3 linked regions of the Mus musculus genome follow. The protein of the gene in region 3 purifies or fractionates together with the protein of the main gene of each other region. This does not show direct contact. Links are inferred from orthologs where the notes say so. Each region holds a gene or a part of one and is shown on either strand. Other genes may lie near its edges.

The links.
Region 1: the proteins of Gpn1 (region 3) and Polr2c purify together in Homo sapiens (affinity purification with mass spectrometry; 3 studies listed by BioGRID and IntAct, with this or other methods). This does not show direct contact. The link is inferred for Mus musculus from reciprocal best matches to the Homo sapiens genes GPN1 and POLR2C.
Region 2: the proteins of Gpn1 (region 3) and Polr3b purify together in Homo sapiens (affinity purification with mass spectrometry; 4 studies listed by BioGRID and IntAct, with this or other methods). This does not show direct contact. The link is inferred for Mus musculus from reciprocal best matches to the Homo sapiens genes GPN1 and POLR3B.

Annotation. Positions count from the first base shown.
Region 1 is NC_000074.6:94,860,410-94,864,847, forward strand, and holds the end of Polr2c (DNA-directed RNA polymerase II subunit RPB3), read left to right. Parts: intron 1-34; coding exon 35-87; intron 88-1,301; coding exon 1,302-1,430; intron 1,431-1,772; coding exon 1,773-1,824; intron 1,825-2,111; coding exon 2,112-2,280; intron 2,281-2,400; coding exon 2,401-2,475; intron 2,476-3,042; coding exon 3,043-3,187; 3' UTR 3,188-3,833; downstream 3,834-4,438. UniProt on the Homo sapiens protein: Core component of RNA polymerase II (Pol II), a DNA-dependent RNA polymerase which synthesizes mRNA precursors and many functional non-coding RNAs using the four ribonucleoside triphosphates as substrates.
Region 2 is NC_000076.6:84,674,250-84,677,894, forward strand, and holds part of Polr3b (DNA-directed RNA polymerase III subunit RPC2), read left to right. Parts: intron 1-307; coding exon 308-470; intron 471-2,633; coding exon 2,634-2,787; intron 2,788-3,645. UniProt on the Homo sapiens protein: Catalytic core component of RNA polymerase III (Pol III), a DNA-dependent RNA polymerase which synthesizes small non-coding RNAs using the four ribonucleoside triphosphates as substrates.
Region 3 is NC_000071.6:31,508,198-31,511,842, forward strand, and holds part of Gpn1 (GPN-loop GTPase 1), read left to right. Parts: intron 1-1,101; coding exon 1,102-1,209; intron 1,210-2,634; coding exon 2,635-2,714; 3' UTR 2,715-3,645. UniProt on the Homo sapiens protein: Small GTPase required for proper nuclear import of RNA polymerase II (RNAPII). May act at an RNAP assembly step prior to nuclear import.

The sequences.
Region 1 (4,438 bases), on a different chromosome or scaffold from region 3:
GCTGTTCTGCAAAGCACTCTTCTGTGTCTTGCAGGTTTAATCCCCCTCACTAGTGATGACATTGTGGACAAGCTGCAGTACTCCCGGGTATGTGTGCTGGTGGGAAGACTGGGGCCACGGGGAGGGGCCGGGGGATTGTTCTCCCTGGAGTCTTCCGGGGTGTCTCCCTTCCAGTTGTTGTGGCTGATGGTGGAGATGATGTCTTAATAGTGTGGTCCTTGGTTCTGATGGAGCATCGGATTGCTCTCAGCACATCCAGGCGTCATCAGTGAGCCTCAAAAGGGAACACACGGGTGGGTGTGGTGGCGCACGCCTTTGATCCCAGAGCTTGGAAAGCAGAGGCAGGCGGCTCTGTGTGAGTTCCAGGACAGCCAGGGCTGTACAGAGAAACCCTGTCTCAAAACAACAAAAAGAGTCCGGGAAACATACCCACTTTTACGTACGTACAGGTCTGCCTCTGTGTCTGAGCAGGTGGGCTAAGGTGAAAAGAGGGCATCAGAGCCCCCGGAACTAGTTACAGGCAGTTGTGAGCTACTGGATTCAGGTTCTGGGAACTGAGCAGGAGGTACTTCTAACAGCTGAGCCATCTCTCCAGCCTCCATTTATTCTTTTCGGTTTTGTTTTCGTTTTTAAGAGAGTCTCACTATGTTGTTCTGGCTGGCCTTGAAGTGAAATCTGCCTGCTCTGCCTCCTGCATGCTGTGGTTATTAAAGGCATGTGTTCCCATGCCTGTCTGAGAAATGTTAATAAAACACCGTTTATTTTTTCCTCTGTAGTTAGTAGATGTTAATGCTTTACTACATTTGCCTGATTTTCCTCTAACCTTTTAGATAATAAGTTGCACGTGCTCTACCCTTCCCTTCTACATACTTGAGCGCATGTCTGTGCTGTAATCCTCTATGGCTAGGTAATCCCTCCCCAAATAATCTAAAACTTGAAAGGTGTTTCGGTTTTTTGGGGTGGTTTGTTTGTTTGTTTGTTTTCCTGTTTTTCCCTTCTTTGTATTTTCAGTTAATTGCCAAGCTGGTCTGCATAAACAGGACTATATAGTCCCATACAACCTTGGTCCCTTGAGATGACCTCTCTAGGCACTGCTATATTAGGAGTGGGCCCCCTAGTGGTCAGCTGTAGCAGTGAACATGGAAAGGAAGTGTAGTTAGTTATCCTGAGGTGAACCAGATGTCACAGCCCAGAAGGGCTGGGACCGTGGTCACCCCTTTTCACCAAGAAGAATCTGGAAAGAGCTGGATAGGAGAAGCAGAGAGTCCAGTCTCCTCATCCTAGCTGTCCTCCTGCCTCAGGACTGCACATGTGAAGAGTTCTGCCCTGAGTGTTCTGTGGAGTTCACTCTCGATGTGAGGTGCAATGAAGACCAGACGCGCCATGTCACCTCCCGAGATCTCATCTCCAACAGCCCCCGGGTTATTCCGGTTAGTGTCTTTGCCCTTCTCTGCCTGCCTCCAAGTGGGACAGATTGGAGTGGGTCTTTATGAGGCAGATGCTAACCTACCCTGTGACCATCTACGTTAACTGCCACCTAGACGTGCTGGTCCTGAGTTCCTGAACAGAGCAGTATTAGTGCCATGTGCCCTATGTTGTTCAAAGACCCCATTAAAGGCCTCTGGGTTCTTTGGACAGCTCTGCCATCTCCTTCTTCTTCTCAGCCTCCTTTCCCCGGATTGACGGATTATAGGCTGCATTTGCTGAGAGACAGTTGCCAGAGGTGACTGAGAGGTGAGAGGCTAATGCATACTTGTTTGGGCTTCCTACAGGTGACATCTCGGAACCGGGATAACGACCCTAATGACTATGTGGAGCAGGATGGTAAGGGGGTGGGGCGGGGGGGTGAATGGGGGTGAGGGGGTGGGGCAGGGTGGTGAGGGGGTTGGGCAAGGGTGGTGAGGGGGTGGGGTAGCATGATAAGAGGTGGGGCAGTCAAGCGGGTGGCCAGAAGATGCAGAGGTCAGATGTGCCCCTTTGAGTTGCCTGGTATCTTTCATTCATCTTTGGACCCTTTGCCAAGATGTGGATTGTCTTCATGCAGTACTACAGGTCACAAGTTGGAGAACTTGCCTCTTTTTGTTCTGGCTCACTCTCACCTCTCCCTGCAGACATCCTTATTGTCAAGCTGAGGAAGGGGCAGGAGCTGAGACTTCGAGCCTATGCCAAGAAGGGCTTTGGCAAGGAACATGCCAAGTGGAACCCTACTGCGGGGGTAGCTTTTGAATACGATCCAGACAACGCACTTAGGCATACAGTGTATCCCAAGCCTGAGGAATGGTATGTTCCTGGGGGGAAGGGGAAGCAGCAGTGGCTGTAGTGAGCGATAGGTGGGTAGTGCTCTGAGAGCCTTGCTACAAGCAGAAGTAGCCCCTGTGCCTCACCTGTGCTTGCCCTCAGGCCCAAGAGTGAGTATTCCGAGCTGGATGAGGATGAGTCGCAGGCTCCCTACGACCCCAACGGCAAGCCAGAGAGGTAAGACCCCAGGCCTGCTTGCGACTGTAATTGTAAATAGAGGTGTGGGAGGCTGTTAGGCAGTCACACACCCAAGCTCACCACACCCCACCCCATCCCCCACCCTGTGATAGAAGAGCTAACTGCCAAACTCACATACACATCTTGAGTTGGTCTTCCTTCCTCTCCGGTCACTGTGAGGAAAGGGGCCTTATTAACCCCTGCTGTTTCTGGCCTTCCTGTTTGGGCTCAGGCCAGAGCAAGACTGACCATAGCCCTCCCCTGAAGTGCTGAAGGGCTGTAGCCAGCATCGTGTTTGGTTTTTCCTGCTGTCTCTGGTGTAGAAATGCACATAGAGTCATCTTAGGGTTTGTACAGCAGTGCTCTTTAGAAGTAGCTGGAGCTTCCTCGGGGAGCTGTGAAGTGGATCTGGACCATTGCGCATAAGGAGTCTCAGGAAAAGGGAAGACCCTGTCCTGAGCTCAGGGCCTCATAGGAATGGAATCAAGTCTCAGAGGACAGAAGGGAAGTCTGCCCGAAGCCGGAGCTTTGCCTCACGAGAGCTCTCACCCCACTCTCGTCTCTCAGGTTTTACTACAATGTGGAGTCGTGTGGCTCACTGCGCCCTGAAACCATTGTCCTCTCAGCCCTGTCGGGGCTAAAGAAGAAGCTGAGTGATTTACAGACTCAGTTAAGCCATGAGATCCAGAGTGACGTGCTCACCATAAACTAGCCACGGCTCGCCTGCCTCCGAAGACTAGGTTCACGGTGGCTGGACTTCAGGCCTCGGGAGCCCTTGTAGTTTCTGGGCTATGCACTGCACAGTCTGCCCCCTGGAAGGCCATCGGGGAGATGGCCAGGGTCCCACTGGTGTTAGACATGGCGGGTTTTATTAAGCGTTGAGCATCCCGGGCCCTACTGTAGTGGTTTTCAGGCAGCATGGGGGGAAACACACACCAGCACGGAAAAGAAGGAATATTTATTGATCAACAGTAGTTGTCTTTTTAAAAGTTTTTATTTTTGGCAATAAAGAGCACAACATAATCTCCTTCATGCGTCATCGTGCCACTAACTGAGCCAGTTTTGCCTCCCTCCCAAAGGGTTGGGCCCATTTCTTGTACAAACTAGCTGACCTCTGGGTGGTCATTTCCTGGGTCACAGAGTTGGGCTGGCTGTGCCACCTCCCTGGCTCTAGGGCACCCCCTGGGAGGGGCCCCTTATCATTCTGCCACACATGTGAACAGTGGTTATTTACAAGGTCTGTTCCCACAAATCAGAACCCTAAAGTATTAAAAAACAGAAACACGCAACAAAAGGTTTGATGTGAATAGAAAGATAGCCCTTCTGCACGGTAGTCAATAAATACCAGCACTAGAAAATCAATTGCTTTAATTGCATTTCAGCAGGGAGCCTCAGCACCGTGTGGGGAGATAGGAAAGTCTTAGTTTTGGAATCTGGCCTGGGGTGGCTGGCCTGGGCAAGGGACTCCCCCTGCTGGAGCTTTATACCCCTGGTCAGTGAAGGAGAGCAGCAAGGTGCTCCCCACAGCAGTCCTGCTGCAGTCCTCCCTCCGGGCTGGCCCCAACTGTCCTCTGCTGCCGAGGTAACGGGAGCCCTGCCCAAAGACATCTTCAGCCTACTGAGCAGGAAGGGGCCAGTGCAGAAAGTGCATTTAAAAACCAGATGCCGCCTCTGCTAAACACTCCCAAGTGCAAGGCTGCCACACGGTACAGTGAAGTTTAGGACTCTTCCTGTGTCACTGTAGGCCCAGAGGACAGAGCTACCTGCTGTCCTGGCCCTTGGGCTTCTGAGGAAGAGCCAGCAGACAGCACCAGTCTGATTGTCCCCCTCCTCTGACCCTGGCAGCTCAGGCCATCTTGGCAGCAGGAGAGTTGTATCACTGAGGACAGGCACTGCCACCCTCATACTCAAAAACAGCCTTGACCATGCCTGGTCGTGGAATTAAAAATGGGTATGTGTTGGT
Region 2 (3,645 bases), on a different chromosome or scaffold from region 3:
AATTGTGGTTCTCAGATAACTCTAGCTTGTGTTGACAATGAACAAGCCAGGACAATGTCCTTTCTTGTTATTTGAGGATAAATTCCTCAGGTTAAAGAATATACACATTTTAAAGATGAGGTAGTTTGTTTGAGGTGTGTGTGTGTGCGTGTGTGTGTGTGTGTGTGTGTGTGTGTTTGAATTTCAAGTGTCCCTTTCAAGACTGTACTCTTATGTTACCAACAACAAAGTGGTGAGCATTTTCAGATGTGAGCTGTACTCATGCACTGTTGTTTATTCTTAGACGTGCCTGTCTGTTTTTTGTTAGGCCTGTGGTTTGGTTAAGAACTTGGCCCTCATGACACATATAACAACTGACATGGAAGATGGACCCATTATTAAGTTAGCTGGGAACTTGGGAGTAGAAGATGTGAATTTATTATGTGGAGAAGAGCTCTCTTACCCAAATGTGTTTCTTGTCTTCCTGAATGGTAGGTATGCTACAAAGATGTGCTCCTCCTAAGCCAGTGTTTCTCAACCTGTGGGCCACAGCCCCTTGTGGGTGGGGGGAGTTGAATGACATTTTCACAGGGGTCACATATCAGACATCCTGTATATCAGATATTCACATTACAGTTTATAACAGTAGCAAAATTACAGTTATGAAGTAGCAGTGAAAATAATTTTATAGTTGGGAGTCCCCATAACATGAAGGTCTGTATTAAAGGGTTGCAGCATTAGGAAGGCTGACTACAGTCCAAAGCTAGGTTTTGGAAATAGAGAGACAATACATTATTATTTTTATTTGAAGCATAAAGATATTTTAATTCTGGCCCTAGATAGACCTTGATTTATTTTTATTTGTTTTTATTGAAAAATAATTTTCATGCAAAATATTCTGGTTATGGGTTCTTCTTCCTTGTTTCCTCCTAGGTCCCCCTACCTCCTTGCCTTACAATTCTGTGACTTCTTTTTCTAGCTCTGTAGAAAACAAAATAGGCAAAACAAAATGAAGCAAAAACCCAAACTAGAATAAGACAAAAACAAAGAAGGAACAGAAGAAGCAGTATGCAGGTGGGCGCACGCGCACACACACACACGTACACACACACAGACACACACATGCACACACGTACACACACACATACACCATCAAAATCCTGTAAAAGCAAAAGACTAGTATGGTAAGGAAAAAAAAAACCCAAACAAAGCATTATGAGACCAAAAAATTCTTCAAAAATACCACTGAGTTCTTTTTATCTTGGCCATCTACTGCTAAGCATGGGGCTATCCTTAAAGTGGTTAGTATACCCAGTGAGACTCCACTGATGAAAGTAATTTTTCTTTGTGGGTGGTTGTCAGTTGCAGATAGCTTCCACAGATCCAAGCCAGGTGGGGTCCCAGGGCTGAGAGGAAGTGTAGACACAAGGTCACATCCCTAACCAGGAAGCTATCTCCAGCAGCCCTTGGTTTAAAGGAGGAAAAGTGATAACAGAAACAGTTGGTCTTTTGATTGTGGTCCCCAAGGTTTCAGTAGGTTTCATTGCTGTGATGGGACAGCATGAGCATAGCAACTCTTATCAAGGAAAACATTACATTGGGGCTGGCTCACAGTTTCAGAGGTTCAGTCCATTATCATTGCAGGAAGCTTGGCAGTGTACAAGCAGACATGATGCTGTAGGAGCCAAGAGTTCTGTATCTTGATCTGAAGACAGCCAGCAGGAGACTCTGCCACACTGGCCAGACTTGAGCATATATAAAATTAAGATCTCAAAGCTCCACCTCACAGTAGCACACTTCCTCCAACACAACCACACCTCCAAATAGTGCCACTCCCCATGGGCCAGACATATTCTCACCGCCACACCAAGACTCTGAGGACACAGAACACTGCTGAGGTCCATCTGCTGCTTTCCATCTATTTGCAGCTGCTAAAATATCCATAGTAGGATAAGTTCTGTGTAGTATCTTAGTGGCTAGTTAAATATGCACTCAGTTCTGCAGAAATGATCAGATCGACTCACTTCATACTATCCAGCCTTTGAGTCAGAGCTCAGCAGCTGTGGCAAAGGAGATATTCTGCTGCTTTGGTTCACGTCTCTTTCTTCCTTCATGTGTACTCTGCTTTCTTCAAAGCCCCCAGAGGCTGGTGGCAATGTGCCCACCCTTCTTCTTTTAACTTGGTAGCCCTGTCCTGTCCGATGTGCTCTGGCCATCCCTTTCCCCCATTCAGAGAGTTCTAGCCCTTTTGTATACAGGCTGTGGTGGAAGGGTCTGCCTGAGCACGGCAGTCGGCTGCCTGCCCCCTCCGTGTTTCCCAGGGGGTTGATGGGGGCTGGCTCTTAGTCTGCATGCCACCTGCCTGTGCCAGTGTGAAGCTCCTGTCCTCATCACCATGCTGACAGTTGAGGACAGTCAGGGAGGGGAACACTTGGGGAATTCCTCAGTCAGTGCCCAGTGTGATAGCCACAGGCTTTAAGGCCCGCAGAGCGTCTTTGAGCATACTCTTGTGCTGCTTCCTAGAGCCCGTGAATAAGTTCTGGTGTTAACAACTTTTAAGTGACTATGCCCTGCTTCTCAGTGTTATTACTGGATGGATAATTTAAGGCAGATTATTTTTTGCGCCTGACTCACCTATCTCTTGTCTTTGTTAGGTAACATCCTTGGTGTCATTCGAGACCATAAAAAGCTTGTCAGCACATTCCGGCTGATGCGAAGAGCAGGCTATATCAATGAATTTGTTTCTATCTCCACAAACCTTACGGATCGCTGTGTTTATATTTCCTCTGATGGCGGGCGCTTGTGCAGGTGTGTTGCTGTAGAGACCTGGAGACTCTTTATGTGCACTTTGGAAGAAATGGCCTTGCCTCTAGTTTTAAAGCCTCTTTTTTGTCCTGAAGATAAATTTAATTCAGTTATCCTACAACTTAGAGAATAATGGGAGGTCTGAAAAACAATGGGAGATATTTTCTGTTCTCAGAGAGTTCAGACTGCCGGGAGAGGCGGAAACCATGACGAGTGGCAGCCAGCTGTTCTGGCTCGAGTGGACTCGAGTTGCTGTCTTGTTTTACTGGGTGTGTTGCATGTGTAAGACTATCATCTGAGTTATCTTCATCTTCATGAGGACCTTGGTGGTCTATGAGGCTGAGCCGAATGAGCAGAACTAGAGCACGGTAGAATTGGGCTTTTCCTGGTGGTCCTTAAATGTTACTTGGCTCCACCGATTGTGACCCACCTCTGTATTCTGCCCAGCTTTAAAGTCTTGACATCCTGACCCCTCTGCTTCCTGCAGTCATTCCTCACCCTCTTCCATAAGATTCCACGTACTCTGCATAATGTTTGGCTGTGGATCTTTGCATCTATTTCCATCAGCTGCTGGATCCGAGAGCTTACCCCTAATACTACCTAGAGGGCCAGGAACCAGAGAACCAGGATAGAATCAAACAGGATCAGCAATTAAGAAGGAGAGTGTTGGGGGTGGGGGGAGAAGCCAATGAAACCATCCCTAATGATATTCTTCTGTTATACTCATAGACAGAAGCCTAGGATACTCAGCCTTCTGGTCAATTCTTAGTGCTTCGAGTAAAGTACATTTTTGCTTAACTCAGTCAGAACTGGCTTCTCTTGTGATGTTGCTGAAAATAAGATGCCCACATTTGAGTCCTC
Region 3 (3,645 bases):
TTCTGCCTAGCTGGCTCTGGACTCTGCGTAGTCTGCTGATTGCTTTCCTTAAATGCCTGCACATTCCTCAAATGTGGCCGTCTTAGAAAAGGCTTCAGCGCCTGCTCAGGCTGCTCTCCCCGTACTGTGTCCTCTCCGGCTGTTCTTGCATTCACGGCCCACATGCACGTGCACACCAGCTTACCACGTGCACGTGCACACCAGCTTACCCAGCTTCCTGGGAAGCTTTGTGTCGAGGTTTCCTTGTGCTCCTAAATTAATCCAGGAAGAGCTGACATCTCTGTGCTCTTGCTTCTTCCTCCTCAAGAGCAGGAAGAATTTTCGTTTTGGCAGGTCTTGAGTCTTTCTGGAATGTTATCTTGCGTATGTTTTGCATATTTCTAATTACATTATTGAGTGGATTTTATCTTCTTTACTACATGTTGTTTTACTCTGGTAACTGGTAGGGGTTTGTGCTGTTTTTTGTTTAGTTTTTTTCTCGTTATTTGTATTCTGCTATCTTCCCTCCTCCTCCCTCCATCCCTCCCTTACTCCTCTTTCTTTCCTTCATTCTGTTATTTTTATCATTGACCCTCTGTGAGTGTCTAGGATGTGCTTATATTAAAAAATATATACTCCTGGGGCTGGAGAGATGGGTCAGCAGCTAAGTGCACTTGCTGCTCTTGAAGAGAGCCCAGGTTTAATTCCCAGCACCTACATGATGGCTCACAACCACCTGTAACTGCAGTTCCAGAGGATCCAACAGTCTCTTTTCACTTCCATGGGCAGGGGGCTTGCTTGTGGCTCATAAATATATATGAAGGCAAAACACTTGTACATAAGAACTAATGTAGCTGGGCGTGGTGGTGCATGCCTTTAATCCCAGCACTCGGGAGGCAGAGGCAGGTGGATCTCTGAGTTCAAGAACAGCCTGGTCTACAGAGTGAGTTCCAGAACAGCCAGGGCTACACAGAGAAACACTGTCTCAAAAAACAAAACAAAAAACTACAAACTCTCCCGCATGTCTGTTGGTCCAGCGCACTCTCATGCTGCCCTCTGATCAGCATAACAGCTCAGAGCCAGCTCAGAAGACACGTGTACTGATCAGTGTTTTAACCCTAGGCAACGCATCTCCTGTGCTGGATCCTTCTGACTTGATCCTGACTCGAGGAACCTTGGATGAGGAGGATGAAGAAGCTGACAGTGACACGGATGACATTGACCACAGAGGTGAGAGGCAGCCGGTGGACATAGCAGCTGCCCCATCCACTCAGGAGATTGTCACTGTTGAGAGGAGATCCTGAGCAAATGGCCAGGGACAGGGGAAAGGGAAGATGGTAGAGCACACAGCACCAGCAAAGGGTTCCATGTGAAGAGTTCTGACCTTGCTATGTGTTCTAATTTCATTCTGTTGCCGTGGCAAAATAGCCCAATGGAAAGCAATGCAGTGGAGAAAGGGATTGTTTCCGCTCCTATTGCAGCTTCCATGCTGTGGAGAGGCCAGGTGACATCCACAGCAGGAGCAGGGAAACGAATGCATGCCCCTCACTTGTCTTCGTGTACTCAGCTTGGTCTCTCTGCCACACAGTACAGGACCTCTGTCTAGCGAGTGGCCCCCACACAGTGGGCAGGGTCCACTAACGTACCTTTCATGTCTTGTTACTTCTCCTGAGTTTGACTCAGTTAGCAGGTGCTGCTGTTTCCGTCTGTTACCGGTGTTTTGGTTGATAAGTGGTGAAGGCTGTACCCCCTGCTAAAAGCATTGATACTGAGCAACATCCTGAGTCGCTCACCCTGGGGTGGGGGGCCAGCAGGCTGTTTCATAAGCCTTCCAAGTGACTGCTGTGCTCATTGCAGAACTTCACAAAGCTATTTCTTGAGCCCCCTTTGCTTCTACCGGGGGAAAACATGAGAAACATGTCTCTGAGCCCCCAGCAATCTGTTTTACTGGCTCATAGACAGGAGGAAGCAATGTTGGGTTTTAAAGATGTGGTTTTGTTTTTTTTTCCTTTCTGTGTGTGAGTGTCTTGCCTGTGTGTCTCTGTGTGTACTATGTGAATGCCTGGTCCCCATAGAGGTCATAAATCCCCTGGAAATGGAGGTACAGATATCGTGAGCCACCATGTAGGTGCTGGGAACAAACCTAGGTCCTATGCAAGAGCAACAAGTGCTCTTAACTGCTGAGCCGCCTCTCCAGCCCCCAAGTGTTTGAGTGTTTGCCAGTCACGTGTGCTGGTGCTAGGCTGAGGCTGTGAGTGAGTGGACTCTTCTTTCTCTGGCCTGCCTGAGCAGACCTCAGATTAGGATTTTTTGACTTTGATGCTGCATGTTCTAGAAGCCATTTCATTGACTGAGGGTGTAAGTATGTAATTCCTTAAAAGTCATTTCAGCCAGGTGTGGAGGCGCATACATGCCTATAACCTCAGCGTTGGAGAGACAGGCAGGAAGACTATGGGTTCTAGGCCAGCTTGGGATTCATAGCAAGTCCCAGTCTTGAAAAAGTGAAAAATAATTTTAAAATGTATGTCTCTCTTTCTCTCTCTGTCTCTCTCTGTCTCTCTGTCTGTGTGTGTGTGTGTGTGTATGTGTATGACAGGAGCTCTGATTCATTGTCTACTATGAAGGTTTTAAACACAGCACCCTTGTCTCCTGCAGTTACAGAGGAAAGCCGTGAAGAGCCAGCATTTCAGAACTTCATGGAGGAGTCAATGGCACACTGGAAGAGGAACAAGTAGGCCCTCCCACCTGCTGTACAGCTCTGATGTGCTGAGTCTCCATGCAGAGGACATCCTTCCTGTGAACCAGGGCTGCAGTCAAGAGCAGTTTTCTCCCAAATGGTGACTTCTCTGAGGGAAACTGGGCTTAGATGAAGTCTGGTTGAAGGCGGAGCTGGCAGGTGGATGCCCATTCTTGGGTAGCTCCTCCCGATATTTATGCAAGGATGTATTCTCACCGCTCTGGAAGCTGAGAGATAGCTGCTGAGCCTATAACTTCAAGTATCATCGTTTGAACTCAAGTATTTCTGCTGCTGATGGACAGAGAGGACGTCTGTCCCAGAGACGCTTTGGACCTTGACTAGCTGGGTCTGTGGGCACAGCAGGATGGAAAGGAGAGTGTGTGTGTACAGAGGGCAGCACAGTGCCCTGGGCAGCCAGGTCGGATGTGATCTGTGCTCACACGAGGTAGCCCATTTTCAAGAATACTGTTAGGATGGTGACTTGGATAAAGATTTTGACTTTAACTTTGTGGTAAGCTTTCCTGTCATGGTTTGATATTAGAAAGTATGTGATCACTAATAGATTTCCCACTATTAGTTATGACCAAGCCTTAAAGACATGTCTGGTAGGATATAATGCATAGTAGGTTAGTTTCCCATGTCTATCCACCTAACCATGGCCAAAATCATGTCCTTATATTGTACTTAGAACAATACAAAGCATTGTTTGTGACCAGGATTTGGTCCATTCCGTCCATTCAGAGCTAGGATTTGCCCTGGTTCTCAGGAGTGTAGTAAAATCACGAGCCAGGCAGTTCTTATGGATACACCTCCAAATCAGCTTTCCTAGAAACGGGGTCGGGGGTGGGGACGCAGCAGGCTGGCTCATAAGCCTTCCAGGTGACTGCTTTGCTCTTTGCAGAACTGTTTCAGGTCAGCCTGTGACTGAA